4 linked regions of the Medicago truncatula genome follow. The protein of the gene in region 4 interacts with the protein of the main gene of each other region in a pairwise test. Links are inferred from orthologs where the notes say so. Each region holds a gene or a part of one and is shown on either strand. Other genes may lie near its edges.

Region 1 (7,938 bases), on a different chromosome or scaffold from region 4:
AAAACCTATATATACTTCCAAAAAAAAAAATTAAATTATAGTAAATGATGGTAAGTTTCTGAATGTGACAAATTAGAAAATACACATAATTTCATATGAAAAATAAACTCACCAGAGCTTATATTGCCTCCAACACCACCACTCCAATCCATGAACATACCCTAATTTTAAATTAACATTTATGTAATAATTAATCAATAAAAGTAAAAAATAATAATAAAAATAAACTATATATTATATAACAATATTTGACTTTAGTACCTGAGAGCGTGCTCTTTGAAGGTCTTGTTCCAATTGTGTAAGCTTTAATCTACTTGACTCAAGTTGTTGCACATAAGCCTATAGAAAAATTCAATTCAATGAGTAAGTTTCATACTTTCATTTTTACATTTTTCTACAACTTTTGTGTATCTATATGTATATGTATATGTATAGGACACACAAACCTTTTTCCTTAGACGACTTTTCCTTGCAGCCTCCCTGTTTTGTGCTAAACGTCTCAATGTCTAAAACAAGTACAAATTTTTTACCTTAGCATATAAAACATCAACATGAAAAAAAAGACATAATAAAAATGAACATTTGTACTTAAATATAAACAAACACCTTTGCATCAAGTGGCTTATCTGATGTTGAACCAGCTCCTTTTTTCTACAACAAAAGAAATTATCCATATATAAGTTTTATTTAATTAAAAGCAAAACAGAAAGACATACACAAATATTTCAAGTGTAGAACAAAAATGCATGGTTAAGCAAATGAGTGAGGGAAAAATAGAAAATTTGTTAAGCATATAAAAATGCTACACTTTTAATTCAATGAAGAACAAAAAGATGGCATGATAATATTAAAGTGTGCTCACTGAATTTTGAGAATGTTGAAGTCCATTTGACCATTTTTCAGTAGGAATGCAATCATCTTCAATGTGATATGGATAGCAAAATGGATCATTTTCAGCCATTTTTTGTGAACTGTTTCTTTAGACTTGTGTTAGAGAAACACAAGTTTTCACTATATCAAGTGAAGAGTGTGTGAGAATGAGTCACTTTTTAATGCGAAAAAAAACTTTGATAAGTACTCAAAAGATTCTCACTTTGTTTTTTTGTTAGTACAACATAATACTACTAGTATCCTTCTCTCTCTCTCTCTCTATCATGTTTTCATGTCAGAAAATCGTTCAGGAATCAGGAAAACTCTCTGTTGTTTTGATTTTCTGAAATCTGTTGGGATCTGTGCTGTTTTTACGTGACCAAGAAGATAGTACAAATTCAAAACAGTAAATAAAGAAAGACCAAACTTTCCCTTAGTTTATGGGATATGGAAACAGATAACTAAGTGATTTAACACTTTAACAGTATCAGTGATTATTTTTTTTTACTATTAACCTTTTCTTTGGCTGCTGCTGATATTTGATTCTGTGATGAAGAGGCTGTTCTTATAGCAGCAGAAGCATCATTGGATATTATCATCTTCTGTTGTTGTAGCTGAAGATTCTGCTGATCCATATTATTATTATGATCTGATGAAAAAGAAGATGCTTTTTTACTACTTAAGGGTGATTCTGGCTCAAAAGGGTTCTCATTTTTGCTTGATAGTGCTGAATCACTGCTTTCACCTCCTGATTTGTTACCACCTCCCTGTATTTCCAAATACAAATCATTAGTATATTCAAATATATAATTTAATCGGCTCATATCGTCGCATGCATTATTTTAAACGAATCGATGCGACAAGGGCTGAAAAACAATGACAAAAAAGCATGCATTCTATTTGAAATTGAATTGAACATTATATAAGAAGCATCTATGATAAGCATAATTAAAATAGATTGGTCAAAGATAGAGAGAGTATTACTACTGTTGAGGTTTGATGGAATCTCATTGGCCAAGAAGGGAACATTTCCAGTGTAGCAGCAGGTCTGGCTGTGAAAAAAGCTGCAAAGAATCATGAAAGAAAAAATCTGAGAGGATCAACCAAAATAAAAGGCTTTAAATTTTTTACCAAAATAATTGTAAAAGGTATTGAAGAAAAGAAGAACCTAATCTATTAACTTTATATTTCAGCAGTTATGGAGTCAGTAAAAATCATGCAAAAGGGAAGTGAGGTTTCCAAGTTTGTAACCCCACACCTTCCCATGTCTATTGCCTCAGAATCATTATGGTATTGGAAATGGTAACTATGCACTCTTTAGACATATTCAAACCTTTGCTTTTTTTCTTTCTTTCCCTCTACTTTTAGAAAGAGTTGGTTATGCTTATCTAAGGTCAGAAAAAAAGTGGTATTTGATAGAAAAAAAAGCAAAACTTACATGCTTTTGTTTCATCATTTCCATTCTTAACTCCTTGCAAAACAATTGCTTCTTCTAGCTCCCCAAAATCAAAACCAGATTCTTCATTCCTAACAAACAAACAAAAACATTATACTAAATTAAATACTATACAAACCAAAATGAATAAAACAGTACTGTCTCATACATTAAGCTTGATGAAGGATTATTATTATTAATCCTATGATGAATTCCATAAGGGACATGATGAGTTGAATGTCCTGTCTCAGAAAAATCAAGTTCTCCTATTCTTTGGCTCGCCATGCATAAATATTCTTTAGACCATTCTCATATCCTATAAAGCAAAATTCAATTCACATAAACAAACAAAATATAATCATATGGTATATAGTTTGTGCATACTTATATATGATGTCATTTGTGTAATTACCTTATAAGAATGATCAATAATTAGAATTGTATAAAGAGAAGCAAAGAAAGATCAAAGCTTATTGTTGTCAAAGTAATAATATCTAATATAATCTAAAGTTGTAGGCTGTGACAGAAAGAGGGTCCAGTCTTTTTCTTCAGATATGATCCTCTTTGCAACTTTCTATCTTTTATAAGGGGGGTGTCTATATCAATTTCTTTTCTCCTTCTCTATGAAGAAACCTTATTGATTAGTCTGTTTCACACACTGTCCTTAGTTGAATGAATATATTGAATTAAGAAAAAACTCACACAATATATTGTCCCAGAAAAAATTGTCTCAGGCTCATTTTTTAGACTTGTGGGGTTCAAAGGTGGCTCAAATAAAATATAAAAAAAATTGAATAAAACAAAAAAAAAAAAATTGTTTTTTCTTATTTATTATAAAATTGAACAGGTGGGGCCTATTACAGGAACCCACTAGAATCATTGACTCCTACTCCACTCTTCTATCTCTCTTGTAACCGCCTGAATTTTCTTATTGGTTCTTTTGTTGTGGGGCTATATATATGTACTTGTAAGAAATCAAATAAAACAAAGTATAGTAAAAAATGAAGAACTCATGCATTTTTGATCTTGGAAATGGGAACACAATAAATTCAGTATGAGTTCAAGTTGAGTTTTCTTTCTTATTGAAGTTGGCAAAAAATAGAAAGATAAAGTTGATTTTGTTACACATAGAAACAAAATATTTAGGCTCATACCGTTTCAACCAAAACATTATATACTAGTAGAATATAATAAACATAACCACTTTGTGTATTTAATCTTAGCTCTGAGATGGATTTGTTTGGTATTATCCCCTTTGTTGATGGGTCAACATCCACTCTCTGTCTTCACCTAAACCATGCCACGTTAAGATTCGTTTCTCCTTATAGAAATGCAAATCTTGTTGCAGATAGCAATATGTAGTACATATGGTAATCATCAAATACCAATACTTAGCAATTTCATTTCATTTTCCATCACTAATCTAATATGTAGTTTGTATATGACTATTTTTATCCTAGTTAAATCTCTAAACTTTATCTAATAGGAGTAGGAGTGGGCATGGTTTGGTTTATGATGAAAACTAAATCGAATCGAATTATTTGTTAAATTTAAATTAACTGAACTGAACCGAATTATGAACTATTTGTTAAAATTAAAATAACTGAACTGAATCGAACTATTTGCATTTTGAACTGAATTGAACTGTTTCAAACTGAATTGAATTGTTTCGAATCGAACGGAACTGTTATTATTGGTACCATTAAAAAAAATATATAAAAAAATCAAACGAAATTAAATTTTAGTTACCAAACTGAATCGAACTGAATTGTTTTGAACCGAACCGAACTGTTTCTGTTCAGTTTCAGAATTGTTAGTAATGACTCAATTTTTTTTTGTTTGGTTCGGTTCAGTTCAGCCGTTCGAATTGATTTTTTGGTTTTTTTCCCACCCTTCAACATGAGTACAGACATATATTATTCTTATTGATTAATTTTGTCCATTTATTTATGTCTGTTTTACAAAAATTAATAAAACATTAATGTCTTCTTCTTCTATTATACTACCATTTGCTATTTATTAATTTTTTTCTTTTCTAATTCTTTTAATATATTCTATTAATAAAGAGCGATTTTGTTAAATAAGTCATAATTTTTCTTTCTCATTCAAAACTAGTTACATTTTTAAATATAGATATTAAAATGACATATATTTTGAGACGGTAGAAGTATTCTTTAATCACACTAATCCGTCAACTTCAGACTAGCCTATTGAATGCTATGACATACTATAAATTATGAATGTCAAAGTTGATTATTTCCTCAATTTCAAAGTGTATCGATATATTGTAACCAAAAAAAGTCTATCAATATAAATTATAATTTTTTGGACCAATATTATTGACCACATAAAAATGTGTAACATATCCAAGGCATAAAAAGAAAGGACAGACAGAAAGAGTAGAAGGATAAAGGAGACTTTTTATGTAATGGACCCATGATCCATATCATAAAGTAAAAAACAATATTTTATACTTGTGGTCATCTAATACCTATTGCAGGTGTAATATGCCTCCTACCAATTATTCCTTTATGATGCCAATCATTGGTCTTAAAATATATGGTTTGGCTCAAAAAATATAAACACTCCAATGGGTTAGGTCAATATATTTTTAAAGTACATATTTTTATTTGCATAAATAATATACATGAATATATACCTTTGTCTCCAATATACCTTACAACTTCTCATTGATGTGGGGGTGTCTTTGAGAAGATTTTATAGCTTTAGACAATTTAGGTCATTCCTTCCTTGAATGTTTCACTCCCTTGAGCCGTAATTCTTTGAGGTCTCTTGTTTTACCTATCTAGAAAGGTGATTGGTCTGAATCAAATCCCAAAATTAATTATTCTTTTGTTGATTATGTTAAACTTATTAATATGTTAAGTCATTACGTGTCGACAAAGTGTGTAACTAAAAGTGCAATTTTTTTATTAATTTTTTTTACTAGGGTGGTCATAGGTGGACCAGTTTGCATCTTGGTCTAAATTCACATCGAGAGTAACGTTGAGCAGTTGTGAGTTGTGACCATTTTCTATAGGTGAATGGTCATTTGCAGATCAAGCAGAGATGTCATGTATAGGAGTTTTTCTTAAAGGATGTCACGTATAGGAGGTAACATTGCATTAACAATTCATATTTATTGACAAAAATCAATGATTGGCCATGGACCCATGATGCCAGGAGACAATGTAGTTTCTAAAGTTGTACTAGTATTGGTCACACTGCTTATTAGTGGGAATTTGACAAATTCCCTCACTCAAACCTATATAAATCAGTCGTTAATTAAATATCAGTAAGTTAGATGATTAGCATAAGAGGAGTTCAAAGTTGGTTTAAGATGTTCATTAATACCTATGGAAACAAGTTGGTTTTTGTTTAAAGTGGGCGGGAAAAAAATGATGTTTAAATTGGAGGGAAAAAAGTGCAAATACCTTTATAAACACGCTTTAGATCGGGTACCATCCCTTTACCTTAATTTTTTATTCAAAATAAAAATTGGTTTTTGCTTTAAAGTAGAAGTGCTTTCATCTATAATATTTGCAAAAGAAAAGCAGGTACCTCTTAAGTGTATGATTCTCTACGACATGACTCTTCATTGATCCAGGTAGATCATACTAGCATGTGGACGCCTTGTTGGAACTTATTTGTAATAGTGGAATAAAGATATAGAGGATTGTGCGTCATCCCGGTTCAAAACAGTAGCCACAAGTCATTGGCTTTTGGCTTGAGACGAGGTCTTTGTAGCATTCAAAAATCCGAAGTAACCTTCATGCAATTTTTTGGTGCTAACAGAATGTGGTGAGTTTTAATCCGGGTGATATTTATCTTCGAATGTCCCGGGTGTAACTTGGAGGTAACACATGATGCGACCTTTTGTTTCAGCAATGTCTCAAGATTTGTTTGTGATAATTGCACTTTTAAATCCACGTTCTTTGAGTTGCCCTTTAGTTGATGCATGTGTCTTCTTTGGAAAAGACCATGCAAGAGAAAATGCTCTTTGAGAAGGATAAATTGAACAAGAGCGGCCTCGAGATTTTTTCTGAAGATATGATATGTGGGATCCTACGACCCCTATGTGCTTCCTTATGAGAGGGAAAAATAAGTGTCGACTCCTCATCTGATTGAGTTAAAGTATTATTTGAACAATGGTTACGCCGAGAATGAGATGTGTTAGTTTAGTGAGTCTTTGAGAATTATTTATTAAAAGTTTAATTTATCAGGAATTGTTTTCAGTATTTTTTATTTCTTCTTTTCCTTTTGCCTCCCTAATAGATTCATCCAAACTCAGGATGGGGTTCGTACATGGCTACGAGTCATTGTGCCAATACATGGGGGATTACACCTTGATTTTTCTATTATGTTACCTATTCTGGATTGAGAGTAGAAATATTTTAGGAAATGAATGCGTGTACTTTTTCAAACATGGGAGTAAAATCTTTAAGCTCCCGACATATTCTCTCAAAGACAAATATTATCAAATTCGGAAGGTTTCAACGAATGCAAAGAAGATGACTTGCATCTATCGCGAATCAACGGATGAAGAGGGTGGTCTAATTCAGGTGCCCTTAGCCAATTTTTTGTTATGTTGAATTGATGTTTATTGGAAAAGGCCATGCAAGAGAAAATGCTCTTTGAGAAGGATAAATTGAATGAGAGGGGTCTCAAGATTTTTTTCGAAGATATGATATGTGGGATCCTACGACCCCCATGTGCTTCCTTCTAAGAGGGGAAAAATAGCGTCGACTCCTCACCTGATTGAGTTAAAGTATTATCTGAACAAGGGTTATGCCGAGAATGAGATGTGTTAGTTTAGTGAGTCTTTGAGAACCATTTATTAAAAGTTTAAGCTACCATTAATTGTTTTTAGTATTTTTTTTTTTATTTCTTCTTTTCCTTTTGCCTCCCTAATAGATTCATCCAAACTCAGGACGGGGTTCAGACTTGGCTACGAGTCATGATAGATATTTGGCAAGTGAACCAAAACTATCGAAGTAATAAATAAATTCGTATCCACGAGGACCGTTGTTAACTTCTACTCTGCAATTTCTTTATCAAAAAAGATGTATTAAATTCAAAGTTGCCCTAGGAAGTTAGATTGGTATTTGTAAAATAAACGGATTAAAAACAATAAAAGTTTGGTTTTAGAAAATTAGAGAGATGTATGGTTAAGACCTTTGAATCCTCCGAAGTTCTCATATGGTAATTTGCACTCCTAATTCAAGCAATGATTATCTAATTTAACGATAGATTAACAAAGTAATTCTACCCAATCTCTTGACCTAGAATTCTCCCTGCAAGTGACAACTCCTTAATCTCTTAAGTGAATTAATTTGAAACTGTTGGAGGTATTAACAGAACGTTAATCCCTGTGTCATAGCCTAATAATGATCTATCTCTAGCTTGATTACTTAGGTTAAACTTATTACCTAGATCAAAGTCAAAAGCCAGGGTTAGTGGTCATTCAATCTCTAAGATCGATTTGCATATTCATAAAGCTAGGGTTAGTAGTCGATGATAAACACAAAAAGCATTAAACATAAAGTAATATGAATTAAAACTAGACTTTCATTGATATTCAAATGAGTTCAACAAACTAGGGTTCCCATAGGATTACATCAGATTCATCTCAA
Region 2 (6,065 bases), on a different chromosome or scaffold from region 4:
TTTTATTCTTTGTTTATTTCATGGTTGAGCATAGGTGGTTGGACTAAAACTGTCATTTCTGTGCGTTTCTGGAGTTGGAAATAGGGAGATAGGACTAAAACTGCAAAAAACATATAGTTTAGGAACGATTTTGTTCGATTTAAAAAAGATATGACCATTTTCGTGAGTTGGTCAAAATGATAGGACCAAAAGTGTAATTAAAAAAAGGTATACATAATCTACTTTTTCTCCTTATCTATTCTGATTTCTTTAGTTATTGGGATTCAATAGAGTCGCGAATCAAGTCTTTTTTAATTGTTCTCTGGATGGAAATCATGATAGTGTTTTAAAATATTCAGAGTGTGACCAACAATTAATTAACCAGAAGGTTTATGAATTATTTATTTGGATTTCTATCCTTAGCCATTTTAAATGTTATTGTTTAGAAGAAATCATTAGAACTTTAAAAACTACACCATTTATAGACAAATAGGAAATTGCATAGTTTTTTTTTTTTGGGTACAAAGAGGAAGTAGTAAAGTTAATGAGCATAAACTTAAAATAAAGATACTCAAATTAAACAAAACATGTTATTGCCTTTCATGGTTTCACCTCATAGAACTCAAAAAAACAGAAGAACTAAAAGATGAAAAATTGAAGAGTTATTAAAACTTGCTCTTGTGACTCTTATCTTCAAATTTACCCTAACAAATCAACAGAACTTGTGATTTATTAGTTTGAAGAATCAGATTTAACATTTGGTGAAGTGATGCTAGGAACATCTTCAAGAGGACTCAAAGGAAGACAAGAACTATGTAACTGCATATCACACACCATTTGTCGAAGTTCCGAAGCTTGTTCTTTCAATTGAACATTCTCTTGGACAACTTTATCATGAGTCTCACAGAAATTGTTGAGCTTATCTAGTAATTGATGATTTTCATTCCTTAGCCAAACAACTTGTGACCAAAGCTCATCAAGCTGTTTTTGTTTCCTCATTCGCGACCGGCGTGCTGACTCTCGGTTCGATACCATTCTTCGATGTTTTCTTTCGTTGATTAGACCTAGGTTTTGTTCGTCCGCTTCGTCGGAAGTTGAGTTGCTGCTTATGCATGAGGATGGAGGACTGAAGTCTTGGAGAATTTGAATAGGGTTTTGGTTGAAACCATAGAATTGGTTGGAGAGTTTTGGATGTTGAGGTGTTTGGATGGTGTTTTGGATCATGTTATAGTTACATGGTGGATAGGGAGATGGATCTGAATATGGGAGTAAATAATTGAGTCCTGTATTAATCTCTTTGGTTTGCATGGTGGAATAATGAATATAAGATTGTGAGGATTTGAAGCAAAAATTGTTGGAGTATGGAATTTAATTTGATTTGGAGATGGATGGAAAATGAGTGGGACTAGTTAGTATATATAGGGAGGGAAAATGGTGAAATGGCCCTATGGAAAGTAACAAGATGTCAATGTAGAGTAGATCATTGCACTCATGTCATCTTTCTATATATGCAATTAATATTATGTTAGATCTATGTAGCACTTACACATGGAAGATGTATTTAGTATCTGTCACATGTGATTACATTTAATTACTTTTATTTTCATAAGTTATTGTTGATGTTTGTGTATGTGTCTACTATTCATGTTTGTGTAAGTGTAGAATTACTTTGTTTGTGAGCGTCTCTGTGTCCCATGAATTTAGACTCTTCTGACAATCTTAATATGTCATTAATGACATTTATTTAGTGGATCATAATCATCTTCATTTTTCGAAAGAAATAGAGAACTCTATTTGAAGAAGAAAAAAAAACACAAATGAATTGAAGAATAAAATTTTTTTTTTTTTTTGAAGGATAATTGAAGAATAAAAATTGTTTAATATATTATCTATATTTTGTGTCTTTTAAATGAATCCATCCAAACTATCATTTTGGTATTTTAAAAATGATGGATTACTTTATTTTGGCTTAAAAGAGATAGCTTTTAAGCTCAAAACTCTTTTGATCATTTTTAATAAAGTTTTTGAAAAGCTAAATAGGCTAATCCAATCAAGCAAATTAAACATAGCTTCTTTATTCATGTACATGTATAATAACATCCATTATGTGGGATCAGGTTTTGCTGCTTTAAAAACAACACGCAGTTTTACATAATTTTTTATCTCAGCCGTTCATCTTAGATAGAACGGTTGAGATTGAAAACTGTGTATTTTTAATTAAAACGATTTCTACCATCCAACTGTGATCGGACGACTATCACTAATTACAACACCATGCTATAACAACACGGAATCCTATTCCCATTATGTGGGGCCTTAGGTTCATTGAACAAGCTAGATGGATGAATAAGATGTTACACATACATATAGATAAACACATCCACAACACAAGTGACACAAACGTGTGGGGGAGGCAACTTGGTTTAATGGATAATCATTTTTGGACAAAAAATATGCTTACATCAGATAAACTTATACAAAAGTAGTTCATATAATGGGGAGTATAATAATTCAATTGGAAGACTGTTTAGGCTAAAGTAGGTGCAGGAGAAAAAATGGTGTTCAATTGAAGTCAATTTATTTTATATGAACGTGCGTAGTGTGTTATTTCTAAGATGATTCTCTTTTAGATAATGGACCTGTTTACTTAAATGACATAAGCTAATTGGATGAAAAAGAATATTGAAGAAGGCATGATATCAGCTATGTTTCTAATTATAAATATATTTTGGTAAAAACATTTTTGCTTAGGCATTTTAGTAAAAATAAAATGCGTCCCTCAAATTATTAGATATATTTATTATTATTTTTTAAATATACTCCTTATTATTGTTAATATGATACGGTTAATTTGTATTGGAAGATGAAAAATCATAATTGGATGCATTTATAAACCCTACTACTTTTCTTTATCTATTTGAAAATTACCAATATTATATTAGTCTAGGTGGAACTAGACTCAAATCTTTTAAGTAAGGTCTTGAATTCGAGTTGTGTGAATGAAAAAATGTGGTTGGGAGAGAGACTTTGCTAAAGAAGGTTAGTCAGATTTTTCAACTGAAGTTATTCGATATTTCGCAACAATAACATAGTTATAAAAAAATTCATGTGAAAATTAAAAAAGGAACTTATGAAAAGTCAACAACGCTGAAACTATTTAAGAAAAATTTAGCGCTCTATTGTGATCTGATCCAACTTGAACGATTAATCTCTGCAATTATATGCGAGGATATACCTAATGTACACTAAAGTGGGGATGGAAGTAGTAGTTTCAAAGAGCAAGAAAGAGTGAAAAGTTTATGAATTTGGTGACTCAAAAACCACTCAAGTATATAGATGCAGGGACCTCCAAAAACAATATATAAAATATGGAACTAGAAGCCAAATCTTGATTTGATCAGCAGCCACTTATGTTAATTTTTAAATATGGTTAGGTAGTAATCATTTATTTTAGTAATGACAGTTTCAACAGTAATCTCAAGGTAAAAAAAATAGGTAAATCATTAGTTAGTTACTTCCACGCCTATATTATGTGAAACAGATGGGTGTATGCTGTGTTCATTGTACACAGCTGTTAAAAAGTAAAAATAGTTGTGTACGTACTTGCCCAAAACTAGCTTGGTGACTTATACGTGTATAGTGTAAGCCATTCAAAAAAAGTTATATGATCACTATTTGCATTAACCTCTAAAATAGAAACTTGCATAAGCAACTTTTATATGTTATGAAACACAATCACCTCAAGCATGTGATGACAGGCACGAGTCGAAGTTCAACACTCGTATGATATGTGTCAGAAATTTCAGACTGATGTTCTAAAATATTTGTTTTATTTTGCTTTAACACTCTTTAGATCGGTGTTCAAACCCGTATGATATGTCTCGCTCAAACTAAGTCAAGTATCCAAAAGAAAATAAAAATACCCATTGCTTCAACACATCTAATACCGTCTTTGAACACATCTCAAACACATCTAGAAGAGTTAAAGATGTGTTGAAGCTATGTTTGATCAAATAGAGGTTAAATATATTAAGTGAGATTACAACCTTATTAATTTTTTCGATAACAGATGGATAAATAAATGTTATATATTATTATATTTTGTTTTTTAATAAAATAAATTGCTCAATTTACATGCAGTTGTACATAATTTGATCTCAATTTAGATATTCTATAAACAATATTAATATTTTATTTAATTATAATAAATTAATTAATATATGTGTAGCGGTGTCGGTGTTCTAAGTTTTTTACATTAACAGTGTTGATGTGTCAGTGTCCGTGTTTAATAAGTTATATGTGTGTGATCTATTTAACTAGTGTTACTTATTAGATGCAGAAAGTAAAAACAATTAATAATAAGATATAGTATGAAACTTTAGAAGAGAGTTTTTGCTATGTTTCTATGTTCAGTCATAGGTGCTAGGTATGTCACACTTTTTAGTCCTAGGTGCTAAGTATGAGAATTTTTCAACCGAAGGCACATGCCCCTCTAACGTGGGATGGCATGCCTCGCGCGCTACTTCAATGTTTGCACTCTCGGGGGGCGCAACAACACCCCCAAGGGGCACGAGTAGCCTTAGGCAACGCATTTTTGCCGTTTTCTTTGATCTTTCTGTGTGTTTTCTTCCTTGAAACTTGTCTCGTAACTTGGAATATAATTTCTTCTCTTTGCAATGTCTTTCGAGACCTCTTGAATCATCATCCATTATCTTCCCAAACCCTCTTGAGATGCTTTGCTTTGCCGATTTGTATGATTTTACATTGAATTACATCAAAACACCTAAGAACTGCTTGGTTTGGGAACGCTTTAAGGTCTTGCAGGGTTGTAACATGACTTAGGTTAAGGTGGGATATTTTTTTGAGAGTCGGCTAATCAAACAACTTTGAGTTAGATTTTCAACCTACGGATTCCTACTAAATATTGAAGTATTACCAATCTTCCTTCCTTAAACCGAAATTGTTGAACCATAATGAGTTTTATAAATGCCTCATAAGTTTTGATGATTACAAAGTATAAAAGAACAATTGGATATGCTAATGTGTGTTCAAATGTGTAGGACATTAAAATTAAATTCTAACTCTTAAGTCAAGTTTAGGTTCTGAAACATCAAGGATTTGAACACATAAGATAGAATTTGAACCAAATAGAGAAGCTACTATGACTTGAAACAAGATCTAAAGAAAGGTCAACTAGAAAGTCAACATCTTGTTCATAAGAGAATTTTCATTCAAAATCATTTGAAGGAAAGAAGACTCTGATTGATCAGGGATTTGAGAATCAAGGAATTTGAAGAATTAGGATCAATGGTTATTAGAACGTAAAGACAATACAAGTTGGAGAAATTTCATCTTACGTTTCAAGCCATTTGAAGACGGGAAGAACGCTTGAAAAAGGACGAAAAACTACATAATTCCCCCCTTATCGTCGTTAAACATATGAATAAAAAACCTAATCTTCCTTGATATTGAACTGATTGATCAGGCAACCAAGACTTGGAAAGCTCATCTTCTGGCTTTCCTGTTTGATCTGCATACCACTCAATATACCCCTTTTACCACAAGTTACAACTAACACCTTGGTATGGAAAGGAGAAAAGAATGGCAAGTATTTTGTATGCAGCGCTTACCGAATTTGTGCTTAAAACATTGGAGACACTTCTCACCTTCAAAGGCCGGGACATTGGAATTTTATTTGGAATATCAAATCTCCGTTAAAGGTGAAAAATCTGATTTTAACGGTATGTTATGATTGTTTCCCTACTTATGCACGCCTTATCAGTAGAGGAGTTGCTTGCCCCATTGATTGTGTTATCAGTAACGAGGGTATTGAAGATACCATACATGCTCTCTTTACTTGTCTCTAGTATGTTCAGGAATGGCATACAACAAACTTACGAGTTGATACTAAACAAATTTTGAGCGAACATGATAATACAAAGGCGATTGTGCTTAAATTACTACATCACCTTCACCCGTCACAAATGTTCTCTCTTTGAAACTGTTTTTTGTAGCTTAAGGAAATGTCAGAATTTAAAAAGTATGGTAACACATTGATGAAACAACATCAGAAGTTGTTGAGTGTG
Region 3 (7,029 bases), on a different chromosome or scaffold from region 4:
ATTTTTTAAATGTTTAAAAACATATATGTTCTTTTAAAAAAATCTTTCTATTTTTACTATTTATTCATGTGTAATTTGCTAAAAATAAATAAATTAAATATAGCCCCACACATTTTTGATTGTTTAGTAAGTATGTTATTGATGCGAAGTAATCATCAACTTATCCTTTTTAAAAAAGTATTTATCAATTTTATTTATGATTAAAATATGAGGGAATACTTGACGGACCACTAATGAAGTCTCCTCTCTCAATTACATTTTTTCCAAACCACAAGACTTGAAACCAAAATTTGTTTAAGAGATATATGGCCTTCACTTATAACAACCCTGGACGGTCTCTTAATTTTTTTTTTCTAGTCAAAATGATTGTAGAGGTTTGGCTTATATTTAATTTCTTATTATAGTTTTTCTTTTTTTTGTAATTATAATTTCTTATTATAGTTTAAGACATGAGAACTTGGTAAACATTTCTTTGACCCTGAATACTACTAATTCATGGAGTTGATAACAGATAAAAGGTGTCAGATAAAATAGTCAATTATTAAACAAACTCTAAAGTGTCACAAATTGTTATCTCTAGATTGAACCTACTTAATTCATGTTTCATTACCAAGACAAGAGCATCTCTTTTTTTCAGAAGGAAAATGACTTCATTAGATGCATGCAGCTTTCTTCCTTGTCATATATGCAGAAGAGTGAGCTTTCTTATTCATTCATTCACTCAAATGGTGTCCTTTCCAAGATGGAATTTCTTGGTACCTTTCTTCCACGGAATCCTTGTTCTTCTTCATTCACCTGAAAAGTGATATTGATGCAGTCATTAAAATTGTCAAGTACTGCTAGATTACAAAAACAGGTAGGGTTTTCTATGGAAATTACATGTCATGAAAGTGACTTGCTAGACATAACAAGATTATTTTGTGTCATTTTATATTAGTATTATCCTGTTGTACGTATTTATTTATTTATTGAAGTGTCATATTGCTACTTTAGCCTCTCTTATTCAAATGTACTCTTGTTGACTCATTGCTTCTAGTACATAATACATAAAATTTTTTGACTAATTTTGACTTATATTTAAAACTATATATATATATTAGTTTATAATTCTTGGTAATTTTTGACAGTCAATAATATAATATAATGTATTTAGAATCTGCAAGAAGTTTCTAGTTTGGTGGATCAATGTCATGGTGAATGGAAACCAACAACATGAGGGTATAAAGTCTTTACCATTGAATGCATGGACTATACCTTTACTATTCACCATGTGATATAAAGAAAGGGACAAGTACCACTATAAATGCACACAGTGCCAAACCTAAAGAATCTCCTACTTATAGCAAGTTTTAATAAGCTAAAATAATTCTTAAATGTGAATTATAAGAAAACAACTTAGATAATTAATCTTCAAATAATTATGTTTTTACCTCTGCTTCATTGGGGTCCACTTGGGAGTCAAGATCCACAAATTGATCTGTCTGGCTACAGCTCTCTTCATCTCCTTTGCACTGAGTTGGGGGGCAATTAGCCCACTGAAAATATATATAAAAAAAAAATCCAAGATTATGAATAATTCACCAATCTTATAAAATTTCCTATAGTTTTAAATGAGTGGAACTAATAGCTAGTTAGTTTTGAACATGGTTCTGCAATATATAATCATGTGATTTTGAAAATTAGACCTTACATTTTTTGCAGCTGTACTAAAAGCTTCCTTGTGAGCCATATCAGGGTTTTTAGCCTTTAGCCTTTTAATCTCTTCTCTGCATTAAAATTATACTCAAAATATTAGAATTAAAAAATTTACAAGTTTATGATAAGTGTAACTTTTGTTAATGTGACATATTAATTACTTGATGAAGCGGTTATAAGCTGATGGTGTTCTTTGTCTCTTCTCTGGTGCTGCATAGAACAATGATTCATTCATCAAATAAATAATTTTTTTTTATTGTATATACTATATACTAAACTTGCTTCAAACTCAATAAGTTATCTTCTTGTTACATACGTTTGTTGACAACATTGCTGATTGGAATTACATCATCTTCCTCACAATCAGAATAAGTCATCATGGATGCACTAGTATTACTGTTCAAAGTCTTGTTTGCATCTTCATCTGGACTACTACTTTCTTTTTGCTGCATAGTGAAAATATTCACAAATAGTTTTTTAAGTTAATATCTAGTATATAATACAAATACCTAACTATAAGAAAATAAACAAAGTATTGGAAATGTGACTTTAACTTATGACCTCAAGATGAGTAAGAGATGCTAAAAGGTGGAAAGGGACAAAAGAAGCTTTCATCATGTTAACAGATAAGAGACTTGTGCAGTGACCACATCTTACTGTCACCACCATTGTCAAACTGCTGCATGGAACACTTACCTGCATCACACAATTGAAATGAAAACAGTTAAAAAACAAAAGAAGAAAATGAAAACAAAAAATAGGTATTGAAAGTAAATATCATGAACTTAAGAAGTGCAATTAGAAAACTCATGGTTACCATTAAAATGGTATTGCAGAATCCACATTGTACATAGCATATTTGTTCCGGAAGATCAAAAAGATGGTTTAGTGTTGACATGAGTGTGTTAATGTGTAGCTAGGTGAGTCGGTGTTGGTGTGAAGAGAAAAGGAAGAGAAATAAGGGATATAAGATATGAAGATGTAATGTAACTCTTTTGACACAATGAAGCATTTATAGTTGAAGTTGAACACTCATAATCAATCATCTTCTCACTTTAATGATTTTTGAGATAATGCTGATTTTCATTCCCGGAAACCACTCCAACATTGCTAAGGATGTACGTGGTTTGTTTGTATTTTTTATTTTTGAGGTCTACTAATCCTACAAAACCGGCTTGTAAGGTGACGACTACCCATATCCACAGGTGACGATTGTCCACCGCTTATAAACTCATTTTTAGACTTTATCTTATCCAATGTGCACTCTTAATACACACTCCTCACACCGACAACAGGACGTCTGAAGCGTAACTCGGGTGATTTGGTAGCGGTGACCTAATAATAAGTGGCCTGGTGAATTTTGGATAGACTCCGATGCCATATTAGAATTTGGGATACTATAAACATGTTTTTCAAGCCTTAGCTCATTCACGGACGAACCCAAGAATAAATTGTTAGTGAGGCTAAAATTTTTGGCAAAGTAAATTATACTAAAAATAACAAACACTTATGTATTAGTAGTAAGTAACAATTAAATTTACAAAGAAAATAGTCTATCACCCATTTGATGAAAATGAGCTAAAATAACACCTTCATCTATAAAAGTTACAATACGATCATTTAACTATTAACCATTCATTCTCTCAAAAAAAAAAAAAACTATTAATCATTCATGTTTTTAGATAGTTACACTCTTAACATATTTCATAACTCATAAAACACGGTCAACACTTGCAGTTGCCACTGGAAAAACCAAAGCTAATTTCATAAGATTATACACCACATCAAATGCAGTGCACTTGTTTATTTTTACAAACTTTGCACAAAGGTCTGAAAGTCCTTTCAACTTTGTAAAATTGAGGCCACCTCGAACATTTCTAACATAATTCTGAAACTAATGGTGCACCACCACTTCCAGCACGTCCATAAAATCATTTTGATAAAGCTCAATCATTCTTAATAAATTGTACATATCAAAAGTTATAAATAATGATACTTGACTCAAGCATACAACACATTGTAAAAATTCAATACTCTCTTCATTAAATCTAGCGTTGAACTCCTACTATTGTAAAAGTTTAATATTTTTTAAAATAAATTTGAGTTGGACTAGTGTTGCTATAGTCAGACCATACCATAACGTAGGTCCTCCCATAAGCTCATTCAAATTAGGGCTCTTAACAAATTTAGGAGTAAAATTACAATCACACCCTTGAGAAGAGAGTTTATGTTAATTTCACCTATTTGGTTGAATGTTATTATTATAATAACTGGCAAACTTCTCCATTGGTTGCAGTGGCTCAAAGTTCTATGGTACTTCGCAGAATGAGTTAAAGTACTTGTTTGTTTCATGTGTTGTTTTCTCTTTTATTGACACTTATAACTCTCCAAGCCTTTTCTCTGTCCTAGAAGAAAATGAAAGTGCAGAAATTTTTTCTATAATAGAAAGAGGTGTAAGTTTCCACAAGGGCACGTAGGAGAAGGTAAAGAAGCATCTTATTAGGATTTGTCTTTCATGAAAGACAGCAAAACAAATTGACCAATGAAAAAAAGGATCCTCCCCACTTTCTGTGCTCTCTTTAGGCATGTGTCACTTCTCATCTATTTTTGCTTCACATTTGAGTTATAGGATTCTGCATTAACCATGTATTATCCATATCATTCAAAACCTATTTCTGTTGTTTCCTTAACTCTCTCCCATGTGATTGCCCATGAGTTAGATTTTGGAGGGTCAATAATATTCATTCAACAAAATATGAAAACCAAGAGCAAAAGTTCTTTGATTATATATGATTTATGAAAATATATTTTGTGAATCAGCCGATCCTTTTATTGATAGTTTTTTTTTTTATATATATTAAGAATTCCGTACACATGAATAGAAGGCAAGCCGACAACAAACTGCGCTGCTAGGCAGAGTTAAAAATGTCTTTTATATTTCTTGTGTTTTAAAGAGTTACTGATCAATTCAATTGTTTTTAGAAAAAGTGCAAGCAACGCTCTATCTTTTATGGAATAAACCATCAATTTGATCCCTATATTATCACACTTTTGTCAACTTAATCCACAAACTATAAAAATATATTAAATAATCCCTAAATTATTATTAATCCTTCAAATTAGTCCCTAGTTTCCTTGAGAAATAAAAGAGAATGATAATTCAAGCGAAGGAATTAGTCCATCATTTCCTTGTGTTATAAGATTGACAAAGAGGTTTAGCTTCTAACATATCTTAAAGTGGATTAGATTTTGTTGCATGAGGTCATTGAATTAAAGGGGGGTGGGGTTTATAATATGAAAATTGCCCTTGCTTCTTTAATGCAAACAACTAACATTTGCAATCTTATTCCTATAAACCTAGGGCCTACTTTATAGGGTGACTAGGACTAAGTTTTTCTCTCACAAAGAACCACATTTGTGAAACTTCTTTACGTGTTATGATAAATAGCTATGTCCCACAAACAAAATGAACGAAAGTTGTGAGGTAGGTAGGAATCAAAAACCGTGAATATACCTCTCTTATTGCTGCATTATTATTTTTAAGTCAATTTTTGTAGCCTATTATAAAGATAAAGATGTTATTGGCTTCTTGCAATTATAATCTCATTTATTTGTAAGCTCCCTCTCCATTGTTTATTTTGGACTTTTCTGTTTTGAAAATTTTGTCACAGCCCTAAAAGATTGTGTGTTTGTTCCCTTGTGCATTAATTATAACCACTCCTACTTTAGAGCTTATTTATAACTCGTTAGAGGAGTTTTGGAAATCACTTTCATGGAAATTGCAAAATCACATAATGATACAATTCTTATGAAAATTATTGGGCTCTGATTTTCCTGAAAAAACAGCAATATTAGGGTGAATATGATATTTGTCAAAATCAAAGTGATTTCCTCTTTATTTGAATAAGCTTATATAAGGTCATGATTATCATGAAATATATTGTGTATATATCACAACTCACAAGAGTTAGCCACATTTTCAAACAAGAAAACAATTGTGTTGATCACATAGTCAATAATGTATTCTCTCTATCTAATTTTACTTGGTGAGATTCGCTATCTCGTTGTATTAAACAATTCGTAAATGAGGTAGTCAATTCTGGAGATAAATAAAAAAAGAAATCTTTATCGGTTCTACCTCCTTTTTTTACAAAGAGAATGAACCTTTTTATCCAAATAATACCTATGGATACATAAGAAACCTATGGAATCGGTTCAATCGCAACTTGAAATATGTAATTCAAAAGTAGAAAGAAAAAATAAATTATCTTAATCATAGACCTATAAGAAAATACACGATCAAAGGAGAATTTATTTCTTAATCGTCAGAATCTTCTTTGTTTTAGATTTCGTTCATATGTTTTTATTTTTGCTTGCTTTTGTTATGACGCACTCTTTTTCTCTTCACCAATGTTTTATCTCACTGGATTTTCTAAAGTTTTTGGGAGGCAATTGTATTGGCACATCTTTGATTTTTGGGTTTTTGTCTAGTATCCCAAGAACTATTTTTCTTTTGTTTATTTTAATATACTTAACATTTCCCATTTAAAAATGTGACTTATATTATATTTTTGTTTAGAGGATATTGCTTATATTTATAAGCACTTTTTCTGCAAAGAAATCTTATATTTAGTAAAAAGGAGAATGTTTTTATATTATCTTTGAGAATCAAAGGGAAATATAAGAAGCTTTTTCGCAGATACATGGTAGCATCATTCTATCCAAAGATAGCAAATTTTGCTCATGCTCTAAAAGAAATAAAATTTGTCTTCTTTCAATATATATTACCATATATACACCTCAATTCCAATCTGTTATTTCACAATAGGAATGCCTTGGTGTCTTTGACTCACTGAAACTTTTGCTATGTACATGAACCTGAGAAAACTATAAAGTGCAAAGGTATGCACCGATTTCATGGCATGAATTACTAAAATGAGAAAGAGTAAATTGAGTTAGCTTTTAAGGCACATATCAGAATTGAATAGACTATCTCATAATTGTGAGATGTAGTAGTTCAACCTCATGGAAAGTGACTAAAAATATTTGAAAGTTTTTTGAAGTTTGAACTAAAATTGGTGAGTCAAATTTCAGATCATTAAACCTTGTAGAGTGACACATTGAGGTGTCACTGTTGTCAATTCAAAATGAATCAAAAGTTTCCAACTACTCAGTTGTCAATGCATGCACCTTACTTTGTCAGATGCATACTATTTGGATTGGATTATAAAGATAAAATTAAAGAGGTTGTATACTATTTGGCCTCAATTAGATTTAGTTAAATTGCAGTGTCCATTCAAAAAAATTAATGTTAAGTTGTGATGTAATGGAGTT
Region 4 (7,878 bases):
GACAGCATTAACCATATATACCAACAACCAAAGCCAAAATCATACACAAGTTTGAATATGCAAAATTTATATGTCGGGTTATTTGGGTTTACTACCTTTTTCGTGACAAGGAGAAAATGCTTCATTCTGCAACTGGGGTTTTACACCAAGATGGAAATAAACAACAACTTTTGAGCAAGCTAGCTCAGTTATTTAATCTGCATGTTTTTTTCCAAATTACTAGTCGAAACTAGAAATGGAACAAGTTCTAATTAAGAAAACACAACACAACTACTACAAATTGAAATCCAAGGACACAAATGAAGCAAATTAGACACAAACATAAACATAGTAGTACTCTTAGTCCTAGTTAAAGCTTGAAAAACAAAAGATAAATTGTAGTACAAAACCGGGGGACTGAAATTGATAAATCTGAATGAATAAATCAAACCAGATTTTCTTCATTCCCACACGGTATATATATATATATATAAGCCATTGAATTGAAGTTGAAACATCTGAAAAATCCAAACCCAAGTTGCTTTTGAATTCCAATTGTAGCTCTTTCAAAACCAAAAGCTCTCTCCCAAAAAAGACCGTCTGCAACGCAAACCGTGAACCTGAAAAAACAGTCAAAACACAATAAAAAGAAAAAATTGCAGTAAGAATAAAACAGAGAGAAACTCAATTGAAATTTTAAGAACTGGGTATTGAAGGTAGAACCTGAAAGTTTGGATTATTTTTATCAGTGTTCCAATCAATGGCGAGAGTCGGAGGAAGCAGAGGACGGTTTATCGGATACGCCGTCGTGTTCCTCTTCACCCTGAATTCGTGCTGGTATACGAAAGCCTGAGAATCCACCACCAGAGACAGAAGCCTGATGGATCATCGGCGAAAGATAGTGATGATGGTGATCAACGATATTCGCCGTCGCCATTGAAGGATCTATCCAAGCACGAACTGAAGGATTGTAACTGGACTGAAGGGGTCCCCTCTGAGTAAAAAACTGACCATAACCGCCAAACGCCGGTGCCGGTGTACTGAACACAAATCCAGCACCATGGCCACTGTTACCACCATCTGCAGCATTAGCATTAATATTATTAGCATTCCAAGCCATCATTCTATTCAATCTGCCGTTATCATGTTCCTCTTGATGCTGCTGCTGTTGTTGCTGCTCAGACCACAAGGTGCTTCCACTTCCACCACCGTCGTAACCAAGGGAGGAGTTTCCGGCGAAAAGCACTTGGTTATTGTTATTGTGGTGGTGGTGGTGGTTGTCATGGTGGCTCTGAAGCATAATAGGATCTTGAAAAGATTGCAATGAGAGACGGAGATCTTGCTGCTGGGTGGTTGCCGCCGTTCGAGAGAGTAAATCCGGCGGTTGTTGATAATTGTGAAAAGATGTGGTGGGCGTTTCAACTGGGAAAAAAGACTTAATAGTATCCGCAATGTCAGTGTCTAACGAGCCTTGAAGAAAACCATGTTTCCCACTGCTACTACTGTTGTAGTCTATCTCCAACTGTTGTTGTTGGGAAGGAAATTGTTGTTCGTGTGGTGGCATTCTTCGCTCTAATGCCGCTGAGCGGTGACTGGTAGAAGCGGTTACTGGATTGTTGTCCACCGGAGATTGCCGGTGAAACATTTCATTTGTTTGCTGCTGCTGCTGCTGTTGTGGTGTTGAAGAACATGTAGCTGTGGGGTTCCAAGCGGGGAGGTGAGCGAGTTCGTCGATAGCAGATTTAGCTTTTTTAATGAGCCAATCGACTGCTTTACTTGGCCGGTCGTAGCCGAGACGATCTTGCACGTCGTAGAATTGAATCGCAGTGTGGGCTGAGAGTCGTACACGGCGGTCACGGGGACCTTTCGCGGTGCAAACTTTACTGTGACGGTCTTTCCGTCCTGTTGAACGGACAATGTGACCTCCTTGTACCTCCACGATTTCTCCTCCTCCTCCGCTGCTGCTGATTCTCTTCGACGAGGTTGTTGCTGCTGTTTTTGTTGTTGTAGCTGTTGCTGTTGCTGTTCCTGTGTGCTGGTCGTGTATTGTTTCTCCCATCTTTCTTGCATATTCGATGGAAGAGAAAGATAATGATGTTGGTGGATTAGGGTGTGGTAGTGGTGGAAGAAAAGAAGACCGTTTTTTTGGTGGTTCAAGTGACTCTGGTTGTGGTTCTAAATCTAGATATTGTTGGGGTGGTTGAAAGTACTGGTGATGAAAATGAAAGGTTGGGTCTTGGTGTTGGTGTTGGTGTTGGTCATGATAGTGAGGATGATGCAGGGGTTTTTCAGATGAGGGAGATGAATTTTGTTCATCATTTTCTTCTTCTTCATTATCCCTTACATAACTTGAATTTAGAACAGAGTTATGGTGATGAGGGTCTTGTTGGTTTTGTTGATAAAGAGGATGATTATGATAATTTGTTCTGGGGGGATCCAGACTCAGACCCTTGTTCTGCTTATCTTCTTCCAGCTTTCAACAGAACAACACTACTACTAAATCAATGGTTTTGTTTCCTTTTCTCACACTCTAGTTGCAACTGCCACCACTTCAATTTTCCCATTTCCATCATCACCACCAAACCCAAGAATGCTTTAACAGTTTTGAGCCTAACCCATTCCTCTATCTGTCTCTCTCTAAGTCTGTACCACTTTTTGCCTTTTTTGCAAGTTGAATGAAGTGTGATACCAGTGTTATTGTTGCATTAATTAATGAATGAAAGTAGAAGAGAGCAGAATGAGTTGGTTAATACCCACTTGTAGAGGACGAGAAAGAGGTGTCCTGTTGTGAAAAATCCAGCAAATTTTCCATATCTCAACACACAGGAAGACAAGAGAAGGAAAGAAGAGAGAGAGATAACAGTAAATTAAGGGTATAGGGAAGAGGAATTCATTCTGGCCCTATAAGAAAGAGGCTTTTGATGATGATGGCAGTGACAAAGGGTGGCAGTGTTTGGTCAGAATGGACGTCCGTTTTATTTCATCACTGCTCTTCTGCTAGTTTTCTTGTACTCTACTTACATATTACCACCAACCTATCCAATTTTCATTCATTTACCTTTCACCAATTTACTTTCCTTCCATTTTCCCTCTTTTCTTTTCCTATTTTTTTGCTTTTAATTTCCCTCCATTCCTTGTTATATTATTTTTATTGAGAGATTAGTCATTTAGCTCCTGAATAGAATATGAGGCGCCACTTTAGTCCTTGAATGCAGATAAATTGTAAAATAATCCTTAAATATAGATTTTGTTAATCAATTTAGTCTCTGAATGCAGATTTCGTTAGCCTATTTAGTTCCTGAATGTAGATTCCGTTAATCACTTTAGTCCCTAAAATTGACCAATAGAGTCTACATTCAAGGACTATTTTACAATTTCTCAGCATTCAGAGACTAAATAGATTAATTCACCTATTTTTATTATTGGTAATTGGGAGTTTAACTTGCTTGTTACAAGTTAAAACTTTATTATTATTTCAAAAAGACAAGGGTGGATGTCTTTGTTGGAGGGATAGATCCTTTATATGCTACCACCACACCTTTTGAAAGGGACACCATCACAGCTTTTTTGGCCTTCTCTCTCTATCTTTACCCCTTTTATCATTTAAAAGAAACTACGCAGTAACATAGATCGCTGAATTTACTTCTTCCTCGAAACTACTTTACTTCTATCTGGTTTGTGAAATTACTGTATACGTCATCTTGGAGGCTTCCCTTCTCTTCCTTTTCTGAAAGGAACATTGTCTGCCTAAGTTTTTGCATGGTTGTCCTATTCTCTGCAAAGTCAAATTGTTTCTTTATGTTTGGTCAATCACTGTCTTAAGGATGTTATTTAAAAAACTAAACAAAAAATCGAGTTGAAAATACAAGTTAAATGGAATCTAAAGGGGTGAGTGGCGACGATGGATGGTCGGATATCGTTTTTACAATGGTCGTTTTTGTTAAGGAGTCTGTTTTATATGGTGACCTATATTTTGGTGGGTGTCGTCATTATGGGTGTTTTTAGGATGTTTATTTTGCATGTTCAGCCTATATATGACACATTTTATTTGTATTCTCATCGGTCTTTATTTCGTCTTGAGCAGCGATCTGGTTATTTAATAAAATTTGGTGATTTAAAAAAAAAAATACAAGTTAAATATATAAGGCAACTATACAATTTTTAATATAAAAGGAACTACTTCTACACAATTTTCTAATATAAGAGGTAGAACATCCACAATGATAATCGATTAATATGGACTTCTTAAATGGACTCTACATGTATAATTTTTTAAGAGAGAGACAGATATAAAAAATTATATATGTAGGGTCTAAATAGATCCCACCAATAACTATTTATTTAATACATTGTTATCTATTTTATAATATTAAATCGATTAAAATATAAAGTTACAAAATTTATATCAACGGTAGTTTATTAAAAAATTGAAAAATAATTAATAATAATATTGCCAAATATTAAGAATTACAATTTTTTTCAAAAGGATGATAAAATTACATAATTAAAACAATAACTAATTATTTGGTTTGGATTCATTATCCAAAATAATATAACGACACAGTGATTTTAATTATGAGTAAATAGGATAAGAATGGATGAATAATTTTTAGGGACTTTGAGAAAATGAGAGCAAAAATGAAAAGCCAACGATACACTGTGGTAGCATTATGGAAGTTAACTGAGCCATTTCAGTGAGCCATTTCCTGAAAAAAAAAGTATCTTAAAGATAATTGAGTCATTTCACTTTTCAATACAATATTAATTATTTTTTTCTCTTTATAACTCTGGTTAAAACTATTTTCATCATTTTCAATTCAATATATTCCACTTTACATTTATGATAGTGGAAAATGCACTAATATTTAACAAGTACACTTAAAATTATTTTTCTCTCTCCTTCATTTATACATTTTTCTTAATACTTGTGAAATGAGCTTTTGACTCGGTTAATCCGGGACGGAGGGAGTATATATTAGAGAAAACAAGAATGAAAATTGCAATTGAAAAGCAACAAAATCAACTCAAATAATAATTATTTTATTAAAAACTGGTGTGGGGTCCACTCAGGGGCGGTTCTAAGGCCCGGCAACCCCGGGCACTCGCCCGGGCTCCGGGCCAAATTTTTTGTAATTTCTTGTGTAAATCCCTATGAATTTCTTATATAAACCCCTATAAATTGGGCAATTTCTTTACATTTTTTATTATTTGCTTGCAATTTCTTATGTACGCCCTATAAATGTGTTGCAATTTTTTTTTTGCCCGGGCTTTACAATATTCCTGGCTCCGCCACTGGGTCCACTTAAGATGGTGGTATTAAGTGAGACTATGTGACTTAAGAGACCCTCAATTTTATTTTTCTACATTGAGTGTACCTATTAGATACCGGATCATAAATGGTAAAGACCCTACCAATGTGGTTGCTCTAAGGACTCCAATGAGTATTTAAGTAGGTCTCACTAACTTTACATCATTATACAAAAATTATTTATTTATTCGTATGAACTTAAATTGCTGCAACATTTTAATAATTTGAAAATACAAAAATTAACATTACAAATTTTACATTCCGTCGTTAAAAATAAAATAAAATAAATAATAATAATAATAATAATAATAATAATAATAATAATAATAATAATAATAATAATAATAATAATAATAATAGTAATAACAATAATAGTTTACTACTTTTTTTGTGGTGATCATGGTTACTACTTTTAATATTTTTTTATGGTGGCTGGAGCTTCAACCTCGATTCTTACATATATTATGCATTATTTTTATTAACTGAATTAATCTCACTAATACACTAATTTTCTTTTTCTTTTTTTGTTGGCTTAAATGCTCTTTTGGTCCCTTAAGTATTTAATTGGTATCACTTTGGTCCCTTAACTAAAAAAAAATTGTTTGAGTATTTTAAGTTTTTTAATAGTCTCGTTTTGGTCCCTTATGTTAGGTTTAATAAAAAACGTTAAGTGTGGACACGTGTTGTAACACTCCTATTTCTATTAAAGCAATTAAACATGCGAATAATGCATTTATTTAAGAAATAAAGGCTACGTCACATACAAATTTCAAAACCAATAAACATAAACATGTATATAAACTTCAACAGTCGCAGCGGAATATAAACCAGAGTGATCCAAATATACATGTCATGAATCAATAATCACATCAACATAAATGCATCTCAAAAATCTCAACATACGGGTAATCTCCAAACATAACAAAAGTCCAACAAAAGCTAATCTAGACTGACACAATGAAGCCTAGATCAGAGCCGACTAAACACTAAACACCGATATTGGAGAAAGCTCCCGATATCCACCAAGCACAAAAGTCACCAAGCACTACTCTTGCACAACGTCTACCCATCCATACAGACAGATAGGCGGTTAAAACCACTGGGGGTAAGTATTACATCATCATAAACAAAATAACAGTTAACATGAAAATTCAATATAAACATCATGCACTTGATCAATAATATTCACATAACAATGCTTACATCACACCCCAATATCTCACATCAATATTCATCAATCACATGTATCATGAACAAATATCAATTCACAATTATTCATACACAATCACCAATCACATACATCATGAACAATCCTCAATCATATTTCACGAACAATCACCAATCACATTTATCAATAAGACTCATGTCATGATATGCACCTATTGACACATATATGCATGTGGTACCAATCTCCTCAAGGTCGTCACCCATATCCAGACCACCAAGGGTCTCTGCAAGACCGAAGTTCACAAACTAGATCTCAAAATATCTCTACTAGGTCGGAGCACAATAAGGAATAAAACATCGTAACTAGATCTAAAAAGATCTATGCAAGGCCGGAGCCCAATAATGAATAAAACATCATATAAAATTTTAACACGACTATGATGCATGGACATGTACAAGGACTTGATAATGCGACAATAATCCATAATTTTCACCTCAATATATAGGACGACACCCAATTATATTGATTACCTCCACAACATTGCATTATTAAGAAAACATGCCCATACACAATTAATTCATAGTATTCATCATCTCACATCAACATGATTATCAATAATCAAAAAATGTCATTCAACATCAACTATCACATGTGGTTTCACCATTCAAGCATTCCTTACATACTAGGTAAGATAGCATACACCTCTCATGATAAACATCATATCCAATACAATCATTCATTCATACAACTTCACTTAGTCATATAAAAATGGTCACAACAATTCATAAGACAATTGGCTCAAGAAAACATTTCCGACCAAAAACCATATCAAGTGGTCACCGACCAACATTGACAAATCCCAAAGCAAAACGACATAGACAACTTGAAAACCTTCAAACAATCTTAATCGACAATGTATTCATGAATTTAAGTTGCCTCCGGGTCATTGGACATTAACCCAAGAACAACTTAAGTTCGTATGAGAAACCCAACTTCACATTTTCCACAATCCCACCCGAAAATCAAGTTTGACATGATTAAGATATTGTACTAACCTTACAAGCATTGCCTAAGCCCATAAGAACTGTAGACTAAGCTTGCAACCCCTTTTTGTTCATAAAAACCAAGTTTCGACAATTTCCAGAAAACCGAAAACGACACAATTACAAGCTTCAAACTATTTGGAAAATTAAAGTTTCAACAAAGTTAAATGTGTTCCAGTAGAAAAGTAGGTGAAAACAGCAAAAGAACACTTCAAAACGATCGCCTAGGGCCCCTACACGACCACCCCCAAGCACCTGGACACGGAGCAACAAGCATGTTGCCCTGTCCAGGGCGCCTGGTGCTGGCAGTGGGGCGCCCAGTGCTGGCTTACTGACTTGTGGGCGCCCATCGCCTTTGTTCAGGCGCAGCGCTCCGTAAA

What was found.
Region 1: the proteins of transcription factor TCP4 (region 4) and transcription factor TGA9 interact in binary tests that used the Arabidopsis thaliana proteins (3 or more experiments, as listed by UniProt). The link is inferred for Medicago truncatula from reciprocal best matches to the Arabidopsis thaliana genes TCP4 and TGA9.
Region 2: the proteins of transcription factor TCP4 (region 4) and basic leucine zipper 43 interact in binary tests that used the Arabidopsis thaliana proteins (3 or more experiments, as listed by UniProt). The link is inferred for Medicago truncatula from reciprocal best matches to the Arabidopsis thaliana genes TCP4 and bZIP43.
Region 3: the proteins of transcription factor TCP4 (region 4) and axial regulator YABBY 4 interact in binary tests that used the Arabidopsis thaliana proteins (3 or more experiments, as listed by UniProt). The link is inferred for Medicago truncatula from reciprocal best matches to the Arabidopsis thaliana genes TCP4 and INO.

What each region holds. Positions count from the first base shown.
Region 1 is NC_053043.1:42,414,984-42,422,921, reverse strand, and holds the start of transcription factor TGA9, read right to left. Parts: upstream 3,024-7,938; 5' UTR 2,718-3,023; intron 2,622-2,717; 5' UTR 2,591-2,621; coding exon 2,475-2,590; intron 2,398-2,474; coding exon 2,309-2,397; intron 1,935-2,308; coding exon 1,855-1,934; intron 1,638-1,854; coding exon 1,386-1,637; intron 1,077-1,385; exon of another isoform or gene 962-1,076; coding exon of another isoform or gene 863-961; intron 652-862; coding exon 607-651; intron 507-606; coding exon 447-506; intron 340-446; coding exon 262-339; intron 162-261; coding exon 113-161; intron 1-112. UniProt on the Arabidopsis thaliana protein: Together with TGA10, basic leucine-zipper transcription factor required for anther development, probably via the activation of SPL expression in anthers and via the regulation of genes with functions in early and middle tapetal development.
Region 2 is NC_053048.1:6,000,269-6,006,333, reverse strand, and holds basic leucine zipper 43, read right to left. Parts: upstream 1,406-6,065; 5' UTR 1,288-1,405; coding exon 712-1,287; 3' UTR 516-711; downstream 1-515. UniProt on the Arabidopsis thaliana protein: Probable transcription factor involved in somatic embryogenesis. Acts as a positive regulator of BHLH109.
Region 3 is NC_053046.1:14,608,740-14,615,768, reverse strand, and holds axial regulator YABBY 4, read right to left. Parts: upstream 2,685-7,029; 5' UTR 2,594-2,684; coding exon 2,513-2,593; intron 2,392-2,512; coding exon 2,257-2,391; intron 2,142-2,256; coding exon 2,012-2,141; intron 1,906-2,011; coding exon 1,857-1,905; intron 1,767-1,856; coding exon 1,691-1,766; intron 1,536-1,690; coding exon 1,431-1,535; intron 796-1,430; coding exon 718-795; 3' UTR 522-717; downstream 1-521. UniProt on the Arabidopsis thaliana protein: Essential for the formation and the abaxial-adaxial asymmetric growth of the ovule outer integument.
Region 4 is NC_053049.1:24,584,025-24,591,902, reverse strand, and holds transcription factor TCP4, read right to left. Parts: upstream 3,007-7,878; 5' UTR 2,039-3,006; coding exon 737-2,038; 3' UTR 703-736; intron 600-702; 3' UTR 152-599; downstream 1-151. UniProt on the Arabidopsis thaliana protein: Transcription factor playing a pivotal role in the control of morphogenesis of shoot organs by negatively regulating the expression of boundary-specific genes such as CUC genes, probably through the induction of miRNA (e.g. miR164).